Linked DNA regions of Rattus norvegicus. The protein of the gene in region 1 interacts with the protein of each later gene in a pairwise test. Links are inferred from orthologs where the notes say so. Each region holds a gene or a part of one and is shown in the gene's direction. Other genes may lie near its edges.

What was found.
Region 2: the proteins of Hpgds (region 1) and Abhd17a interact in binary tests that used the Homo sapiens proteins (3 or more experiments, as listed by UniProt). The two-hybrid records come from large-scale screens. The link is inferred for Rattus norvegicus from reciprocal best matches to the Homo sapiens genes HPGDS and ABHD17A.

The regions. Positions count from the first base shown.
Region 1 is NC_086022.1:95,713,574-95,718,010, reverse strand, and holds part of Hpgds (hematopoietic prostaglandin D synthase), read left to right. Parts: exon of another isoform or gene 1-236; coding exon 237-329; exon of another isoform or gene 330-3,650; coding exon 3,651-3,760; exon of another isoform or gene 3,761-4,437. UniProt on the Homo sapiens protein: Bifunctional enzyme which catalyzes both the conversion of PGH2 to PGD2, a prostaglandin involved in smooth muscle contraction/relaxation and a potent inhibitor of platelet aggregation, and the conjugation of glutathione with a wide range of aryl halides and organic isothiocyanates.
Region 2 is NC_086025.1:9,773,231-9,778,245, forward strand, and holds the start of Abhd17a (alpha/beta hydrolase domain-containing protein 17A), read left to right. Parts: upstream 1-1,785; 5' UTR 1,786-1,933; intron 1,934-1,945; exon of another isoform or gene 1,946-4,675; intron 4,676-4,818; 5' UTR 4,819-5,002; coding exon 5,003-5,015. UniProt on the Homo sapiens protein: Hydrolyzes fatty acids from S-acylated cysteine residues in proteins. Has depalmitoylating activity towards NRAS. Has depalmitoylating activity towards DLG4/PSD95. May have depalmitoylating activity towards MAP6.

The DNA.
Region 1 (4,437 bases):
GCGAAATTGTCCTTTTTAAGAAGAAATGTTTTGAGAGACTTGGATATAGATCAAACAGTACAGTATTTTTTAAAGTAATATTTTAAAGTTTATATACATTATATAAAAACATATATATACACATATATTCTTATTTAAGAATTTTCGTGACTTTAATGCTTTGTTCCTATTGTTTTGAGTTCTCTTGTCGTTCCTTGTTCTGCTCTCAAGCTGAACCATCACTTGGTCTGTTTTAGCTCTTCCATTTGGCAAAATCCCTGTTTTGGAGGTGGAAGGACTTACACTTCACCAGAGCCTCGCAATAGCAAGATATTTGACCAAAAACACAGGTAATATACCTGTTGTTAGTTAAGGCCTTAAATAACTGGGGTGGGGGTAGTGCTTTCTTTAGTATTTCTTCAGTAAATGTTATTATTCAACTGTGGTGCAATTAAGAATGGCTATGAAGATTAGAATAATATAAATGTATCATCTATGTTAGCAGAACTTTCTGTGGATGCTCTAGACAGCTCTTTTATTTTACTACTTTATATTTTTATGTACAGGTCTTACTTTGCTGTATTGACTTGCCTGGTACTTGCTACGTAGCCCACACTGGCCTTAATGCTTTATCCTTCTGTAACAGCCTACCTGGTGCTTGGATGACAGGCATGTGCTACCACACCAGTAACCTCTCTGTATACTGTACCTGCCTCCTCCCACATTATGCCACATTGCCATCATGTCCTTTCTAGAATATAGCTGGAAAAAATGGATTGGTAAATCATACTAACATCAAGTATTATGATCCAGACAAAAACAGCCAAAAATGCATACAGCACATGAAGGCTGGAACTTGTTGACCTGTTGGAGTCATAATCCCGTGTCTTTCATTCTGATGGTGTTGAAAAACATAGGGTAGTGGCATTCTTGCCTCTACTGAGTGTCACCTGAGGCTTCCCTAATCTACTGAGTGTCACCTGAGGCTTCCCTAACACAGCTCACCATGGCAGTGAGCGCAGGTAGCAGAGGTGGTACCTGCCTTCCTTTCATCATTCTTCACTTCCTGCTCCCCTTCTCCTGCTCGTCTCACTTTAAAAAGCAACTTTGGGCTTCTTTTAAAGATCTTTTTCTTTTTAAATAATCTACTAGAATTAGCACTGTCCACCCCCACCCCACTGCCACCACCACATTATCCAAACACGCTGAGCACCCAAGTGACCCTAATGATTAGACTCCCATTTGGGGGACAAAGTCGTTTGTTTCAAACATATACATGGAGCTGGAGACTCGGCTCGACCTTAAGACTACTTGTTGTTCTGGCAGAGGCCTGGGTTTGGATCCCAGCATCCAAACGGTGGTTCACAACCATCAGTAACTCCAGATCTGGTTGGTCTGATCAAGGCTTTTTGTCCTCTATGGGCACCAGGCTCACATATGGTGAACATGAGGGCAAAATAGCAATATACATAAAATAAAATTAATTTTTAAAAGTTTAAGCACATGAAAAGGTGTACTAGCAGATATTTCAACAAGTGAAGGCTTGAGAAGGGTCAGAGGAGATTGAATATGTCTATGGACGTTGGACTTAGAAAAGTTTGGGTGGAGCCTCAGAGGATGTCTAGGGTTCCAAGGCCTCCAGCCTTCATGTGCATCAAGGTTCCCTGGAGGCTGTATAGAACCCATCCACTCTTCCTTGCTTCTACATTGGGTTCCCGAAGGACCCTGAAAAGTTTGCATTATCAAGGACTTCCTGATAGTACTGAGGAGGCAGGCAAATGGACCTCACTTAGACTCACCAGACTTTCAGTCCTTGGAGTAAACAGAAAAAAACCACAAGAAAAAAATAAACAACAACAACAAAACCTTCATGTTTGTAGGGTAGAGAAGGAGGGTTCCTTAGCAAAATGCACCGAACCTGGTTAGAAAATCCAAGGCATGGACTTCCCTGAGTAGAGTTAACTCAGAAAGGGGAGTGTGGAGAATCTGAGAAAGTATGCAAAACCCTTGTAGGGCTAGGCAGCAGAGAAGGAAGGGCTAAAAGGTACAGTAGACAGGCTTTGTCATTCTCAGAAGAGCACTGTGGACGGGGAGGGGAGGATGTCACAAACACCCACCAACAATAGCACTGGCACTCTGGTCTTCTCAGTTTTTTGTAAACACAGTCCTCAATCCCAGTACCCCTTACCGGATCAGGTTTTCCAGCGACAGGAGGCCAACAGGTAAGGAGTCTCTCTCTTTCAAAACACGCTGGAACTTCTTAGCTTCTGTAGGGCCGACTCACAGTAGTAGCCATGCCCTCGCGGAATGAATAGGGAACTGCAGGTTTCAGGTGTGGCCGGTGGGTAATTTGATGCCGGAAGTTCAGGAAGGAAGAAAGCCCCGAATATTTTCAAAGGGGACTGGGAGATTACTGCAGTTTAGAAGTAGAAATGTCTACTGAGGCATCACCTGATGCAAAGTAACCGCCAAACCCTGGATCCTAGATGTCCAACCATGGCTGTGGGGAAGTGAGGGGACGGTGAGTGGCTTTTTCAGGCTAGTAAGAGGAATCAATTCTCAGAAATCACAGGTAAGAGTTACAAGTAAGTGCAACAGTCATGTTCTTTCACCCTGGAACAGCTTCACTTTGGTGTTGTTTATCTGAGCTATTCATCAGCAGCTTGGATTTCCTTGAGCTTAGTAATTTGATACAAAAGCAGTCAATTTTACAAGACTTTAACGCTGAATCATTACCAATTGGCACCAGTGAGAAAAAGATTAGAAAGATCAATGACTTGTTAGAAAAAAATTAAAGAAATCGCAGTCAGTGTTTACTCTTTTTTATATTGAAGGCTTTGAAGATCTTGTAAATTGGGCCTGGAGAAATGGCTCAGCAATTAATAGCACTTGGCTGCTCTACCAGAGTACCAGAGCTATGTTCCCAGCACCCATATGGCATCTCACAACTGTCTGTAACCGCAGTTGGTGATTCGACAGGCTCTTCCGAACTGCTGGCATGTGGAGTACTTGCGTATCTATATGCACATAAAAATTTAAATTTTAAAAAAATGTCTTATTCTTGCAAGTTTTGGTAATTTTTTTTAATCCCAATTTTCTCTTTTGTTTACCTCCAGAGGCTAGAGCCTCTGCTTTCCTTCTGAACAAAATGTTTCAGTTTGAAGGGAATGTGACAGCTGAGAGGAACATGACATTCAACAAACAGAAACAAACAAACAAAAAAATCCAGTGCATTGTAGCCACAGACACAGCTTAACCACTGTCTGTATATTTGACCATCAGGAGCCACAGCTCCCAGGATTCAGCAGTAGTTGGCATGGTTATCTCCTATCTAGGTTCATGGTGAGATACTTAGGGTTCCGTGACTGAGCTCCTGTCTGGCTGTCAGTCAAGGCGCTTTGTTGTCCCAGGGTTAAGACATTCTATTATTCTTAAAGTTGAAATTTTATGATGAAAGCTGGGACAAGATTTTTAACTGGAGTTTTTTTGGGCTGTACAAAGAAGAATGGACTACAGAATTTTACCATCAGTCCCTAGTTCCACCGCCAACCTCTGTCTTCTGACTCACAACTGTTTCACACTGAATTTTCTATGTCCCCTATGAGATACATTAGTAGTAGTGTATACTGAGCATGTTGCTAGATACAAAATGGCCTTTTTCTGTCCCATAGATTTGGCTGGGAAGACAGAGCTGGAGCAGTGTCAAGTGGATGCAGTGGTGGATACCCTGGACGATTTCATGTCACTCTTTCCATGGGCAGAGGAAAATCAAGATCTAAAAGTAATGTGATGGGCTTACTATCATTCCTATGGTCAACCTTCAATGGCCTCCAGAAAGTGCATGATGGGGCTTTAAAAGTCATTTTTAATCTCTGTAATATAAATACGCACTTTTTAAAAATGAAGTTATAGCAGACTCTAAAGCAAGGTCAATGATTTCCCGACAGAGCCTTTGTTAACCCCACCTCAAATAGCTTTTAAAGACGTGTGCAAGCCTCTGTGAATGTATGTGTGCCCTGTACATGCGGGATCCTGCAGAGACTGGAAGAGGGTTTTAAATTCCCTGGAACTGGAGTTCCAGATGGTTGTGAGCTGGTATGTGGGTGCTGAGGACCAAACCTAGGCTCTCTGCAGGAGCAGTTAGTGATTTTTAGCCATAGAACTGTCCCTTCAGACCCACAGATCCAGCTTTTAATGCTTTTTCCTATTTTCTGAGGACAGACACACCTTCCTTTCTTTCATGCTTTTCTTTTTAAACATTTGTTTTGTGGGCACGTGGTTATTGTTGTACAAGCCCATGCAAGCCGTAGCATGTATGTGATGAGAGGACAACAACTCGCAGGAATCAGTTCTCTCCACCGTGTAGGTCTCTGGGATTGAACTCAGATCATGCTTGGGGGAAAGTGCCTTTACCTATTTAAGCATCTCACCAATGAGCTAATACACATATTCTCTCTC
Region 2 (5,015 bases), on another chromosome or scaffold:
TGAGTTCAATACTATTCTAGGCCATCTGCGATGGTGTCCCCTCCAGCCCGAAAAAGAAAAAGGACTTGACTCAACCTTGCATGGTAGTTCATGTTTGTGAGTCTAGCATTCTGGTGGTTGGGAGAGGAGGATTGTTGAGTTTGAGGGCCCAGCATGGACTACACAATGTGTTCTAGACTGGCCCGATCTATAGTGTGAGGTCCTGTCTTAAAAAACTAAATAGGGATGCTGGAGGGATGGCTAATGGGTTGAGAGCATTTACAGCAGCTGGGAGCAATTCAAGGTGCATGCCTTTAATCTCAGCATTTGGGTAGAGGCAGACAGATCTCTCTGAGTTTGAGGCCAGTCTAGTCTAGGATGAGTTCCAGGACAGCTAAAGCTACATAGAGAAAAACTACAGAGAACAAAACAACAAAGCACATTTACTGCTCTTGTGAAGGACCAGAGAGTTCTGTTCCCAAAACCCATGTAGTGGCTCACGAGCAACCGGACTGCCCATAACTGCAGTTCCTGGGAATTTGACACCCCCTCCCGCTTGGGTTCACTTGTTTGTTTGTTTTTTTTTTCTTTTTCTTTTTTTCGGAGCTGGGGACCGAACCCAGGGCCTTGCGCTTGCTAGGCAAGCGCTCTACCACTGAGCTAAATCCCCAACCCCTAGGACTTTGGGTTTTTTTTTTTTTTTGTTTTTCAGAGCTGGGGACTGAACCCAGGGCCTTTTGCTTGCTAGGCAAGCGCTCTACCACTGAGCTAAATCCCCAACCCACTTGGGTTCATTTGTGATCCACATGAGAGTGCAGCCAAAGTGCACATACATAATAAAAAGATAAAGCACACCCTCTGCCCCCTACACACAACTCAAAAAGAGGGCCAGTGAGATGGCTCAGTGAGTAAAAGGTTCTTTCCACTAAACCTGAGGATCTGAATTTAATTCCAGGGATTCACTCGGTAGAACAGAATCGATTCCCACACTCTTTTCTGACCTCTACAGGAACTCCATGGGACAGTAATGTTTATGCACAGACAAATAAATAAAATTGGACTGTAAAGATGTTTTGTCGCCTGAAATGGGAGTGGAATCTCCTGGAAATAGAGTTATAGATGGTTGAGAACCACTTTGTGGGTGTTGGGAACTGAACCTTAGTTCTTTGTAAGGGTAGTGTTCTTTTTTATGTATTTTTTTTTTCCCGGAGCTGAGGACTGAACCCAGGGCCTTGTGCTTGCTAGGCAAGCGCTCTACCACTGAGCTAAATCCCCAACCCCAAGGGTAGTGTTCTTAAACGGTGAACACCTCTCCAGCTCCAGATTTGAGACCCTAAAACTGCTTTTATTGCCTCTTCCAGGAATTCAGGGAGGGGACGGGCGGATGGGAGAGCAAGAATAATTTAACCAACCAAATGGGCATGAAAACTCCAACCTCTGAACCCTTCTCTATTTCTATCAAAGCCACACCCTATCCAGGCCCCTCCCCTAGACCATTCGGTTCCGCCCTCATTCCAGGCCCCGCCCCTAGACCACCGCTCTTCACCAGGTATCGCGTGCCCAGCCAAGCTCCTTTAGACCTTCACTTCTGCCCCGCCCCCATGAAAGCCCCGCCTACACAATCAGGTTCCGCCTTGCAGCTCGAGCCCCGCCCAGCAATCCCTCCTGTGGCCCCACCTCCAGCACGTGTACCTCCCTCACAACAACCCATCCAATCCGCTTCGTGATCGCTTTGCCCCGCCCCCACGACCAGCGGAGTCCTTCTCGCTTGCGCATTCGCCTCGCATCACTTCCGGGGCGGTGTTAGAAAAACTCACTTCCGCCCGCGGCGGAGCTGCGGTGGTGGCGGTGCAGGAGGCTAGGTCGGGGCCCCCGGGGGACAGACGGACGGACGCACGGGCGGGCGGCCGGGAGCCATGGAGTGCGGCCCCCGGGCCGGCGGGCGCGGGCGGCGGTGAGTGCGGGCGGGCGCGCGGGGGCTGCGGCGGTTTGCGGAGTGGGGCCGAATCGAGCGGGGCCCTGCGTCCGATACTTCTTTGCGCTCTCCCGGGATGGCTACGGGACCCGGTCCCTGGCATCCCCATGTCCCCGTCCAGCGATCCTGGAGTGATCGCTTAACCTCCTCAGGACAAGGCTGTGCCCCCAAGACGCCCGGGGCCCAGCCGCAGACCCAGCCCCTATCCCACACCATCTCTGCTTACATCGTCTGCTGACATTCACCGGCCACCTTTGCCCCTCGCCTGGCGTCTTCCTGTCAGCTGGGGCCCACTGCAGGCTTCCCTTTTGCGGTCCAGGACTCCTTTATGGTTCCTTATCACCCCCACCATGAAGTCCTCATGCTGCAGCAGAGCCTGAGGGTACAGCTTGAAGCAGGCCCTGCTCCCCTGGGAGCCCTTGCAGTTTTTCGAGTCCTCTCTCGCCGCCCGGGTTTACCTCTCCGGTCACTTAGCTATTTCTTTTTTTCACGTGTGTGTTCCTACGCAGAGGACAGCGGACAGCTTTGTGGAGTCCTCCCCTACCCTGTAGATCACCTGATCCAATTCGGATCTTCAAACTTGGTAGCAAGTGCCTTTACTTGCTGAGCCATCTCATTCTACATTCTAGCGAGGGTTGCCACCCTACTATGACTTGCTGGGTGAGGCTTCCCGATGCAGACAGTCATATGTAGGTCATCCTAGAGCCCTTACAGTAGCCTGCATGCTTGTAACACTAGGGTCTGGTTTTAAGTTTGTGATCACAATACTTGGGACTTTGTGGCAGTGAGTAAATAATCTTGGCTTACAGTACCCAATGGCTCCCATCTGTGACATGAAGTCCCACATGCTGTCTGCCCTCTCCATTTAACACTGGCAGACCCTGGGGGCTTATGTCTTTAATGTCTTTCTCCTACACCTTCACTTTCTCTGGCTACTCTGCACATGGTTGTTGAATGGAAGTGAGTAGTTATTGGTCCTAGTGGTTCTGCCCCTGTGGACTTTCTTATGGTAAGGTGGAGATCTAGTTAACTGTAGAAGTATTTAGAATCATAAATATGAGGGCTCCTCACCATATGGAGGACTCAGTGTGCTGGTGTAGGTAGGGACAGCCTCAGGAGGTAAACTGAGGCCTCTCCTTTCTTCACTTGTCTACAAAACATACTGCAGGTTGAGACCCCTGAAGTTGCACACCTGACAAACTGTGGCTAGGGATGAGGTCTGTGACTAGGAAGGAGGACTCCTTTAAAAGGGAGGTCACTCGATGGGTGTGTGACCATCCTGTACAAGGTGTCAAGGTAGCCCGGGTGAAGAGGACTCTGACATGGGATGATAGTGGCTGGGATGGATCTAGGCAAGGAGACTAGAGTGCAGTAGCCATGGATGGACCAGCTGGCCTAAGGATCCATTGGAGTGGCCTGGAGGGGAGTGTGAGGGGCAGCACCCCCTTTCCTGGCCTTATCTCACCTTATCCTTTCTCACTGGACTGCAGACCGCCCCAAGCCCTCTGTTACTAAGGGGTATTACATGAGGAGACCTTGATGATAAAGTTGGTGTCTCTAAACATTGACCTCGTGGGTATTTGGGGCAGGGTCATTCCTTGATAATAGCTGTTCCAGGCTACTCTGTGTCCCTGCTAGGTGTGCTCTCAGTTACAGATGTGGTCTGGTGTCTCCTTGGGCCCCACCTGCTCCATCCTAGGAGTGCTCTAGGTTACAGATGTGGACTGGTGTCTCCTGGAGACAGGTTCAGTCGCATCGTTGAGAATTGTGGCCTGGGAGCTGGGGACTTCTCGCACTGTCTTTGTCCTTACTCTGGGTGTCAGCTGGTCTCCCAGTGTGCCTCTGGATTGTTACAGACTGGGGCATCACTCGACCTAGCTGCTGGCCTCAGGCTCATGGGCATCAGAGATGTGTGTGTGGACGGGCTCACAGCTGCCTAAGTGTCATATGTCTCCTTTGCCTGTTATCCATGTCCCTCTGTCCCTGTGGGTTTATATGCTGTGACCTAAAACCCAGATGTATGTGGATATCCTGTTAAAATTGTACTATGATGTCTCCTGCCTTCTTCCTAGGCTGTGAGAGATGGTGGTGGGCTTTTCTGGAAATGTCTCTGTCTACCCATTGGCAGCTCTGTGTACAGTGGCAGTGGCTTTGGTGTCACTTGAACACGTTTCAGGATGTCCTGCAGAAGTGGAACATTTGGGTTTCTATTGGAGTCAGGCCCTGTCCCCCACTTCACTTCCCTCCTGCAGTTTGCTGCCTCTCTGAGGCAGGCCTGGGAGGTTGGGTGACCGAACCCTGAGGTTACAGCTGCCTGAGGCCACAGCTGCCCTGACCCTGGGGAGACACCCTGGCCCCAAGCACAGGGACAAACCATTGTCCCAGCCAGTGGGGCCCTGCGTCTGGCACGCATCCTGTCCTTGTTCCCGGCCTTTGTGTCTGCTTCCTTCCTCCCTTGGGTTCTGTCTCTCTGTTCCAAGGCCCCACTGCTCACCCCTCCACATCCTCCTGTGTGGGAGCCTCTGAGCCTTTGGATCCCTTTGGCTCAAAACCTGGGGCCGCCTTTGTTACCTGTTCTGGAGGATAACTCCTTCAAGGACTGAGGGAGAAACTGGTGGGGCATGTAGAAGGGTCTGGACATAGGCCTGGGGGTGCTGGAATGGCTGAAGCTGGGGGGCATACATAGGAGTTCTGCAACAGAGGCCCAGGAGAGACTGTGGGGTAAGCTAGGGCTGTGGGCAGGCCGAGAGGACCAAGATAGACCGTGGATGTGGGGACAAGCCTTCCTCCCTGCCTGGCACAGGCTGGCATCTGGTTCTACCTTAGCTTCCTGGAGGGAACCCACATGTCGGTGTCCCCCGCAGGGTGTCCCACTGTATGGCATGGAGACCTGTGGCTGTGAGGCTCCTGGGGGCTCGCCTTGGACCGCGATGGGGCCGGGCTGCGGCCTCCTAACGGGACTGAGGTGTGCAGCCCGCGAGCTGCCGCTGCCCGCATCTCGGAGCACCCCCGCCCCCCCCCTGGCCCGGCGCGGGCCCGGCGCCCGCCATGAACGGCCTGT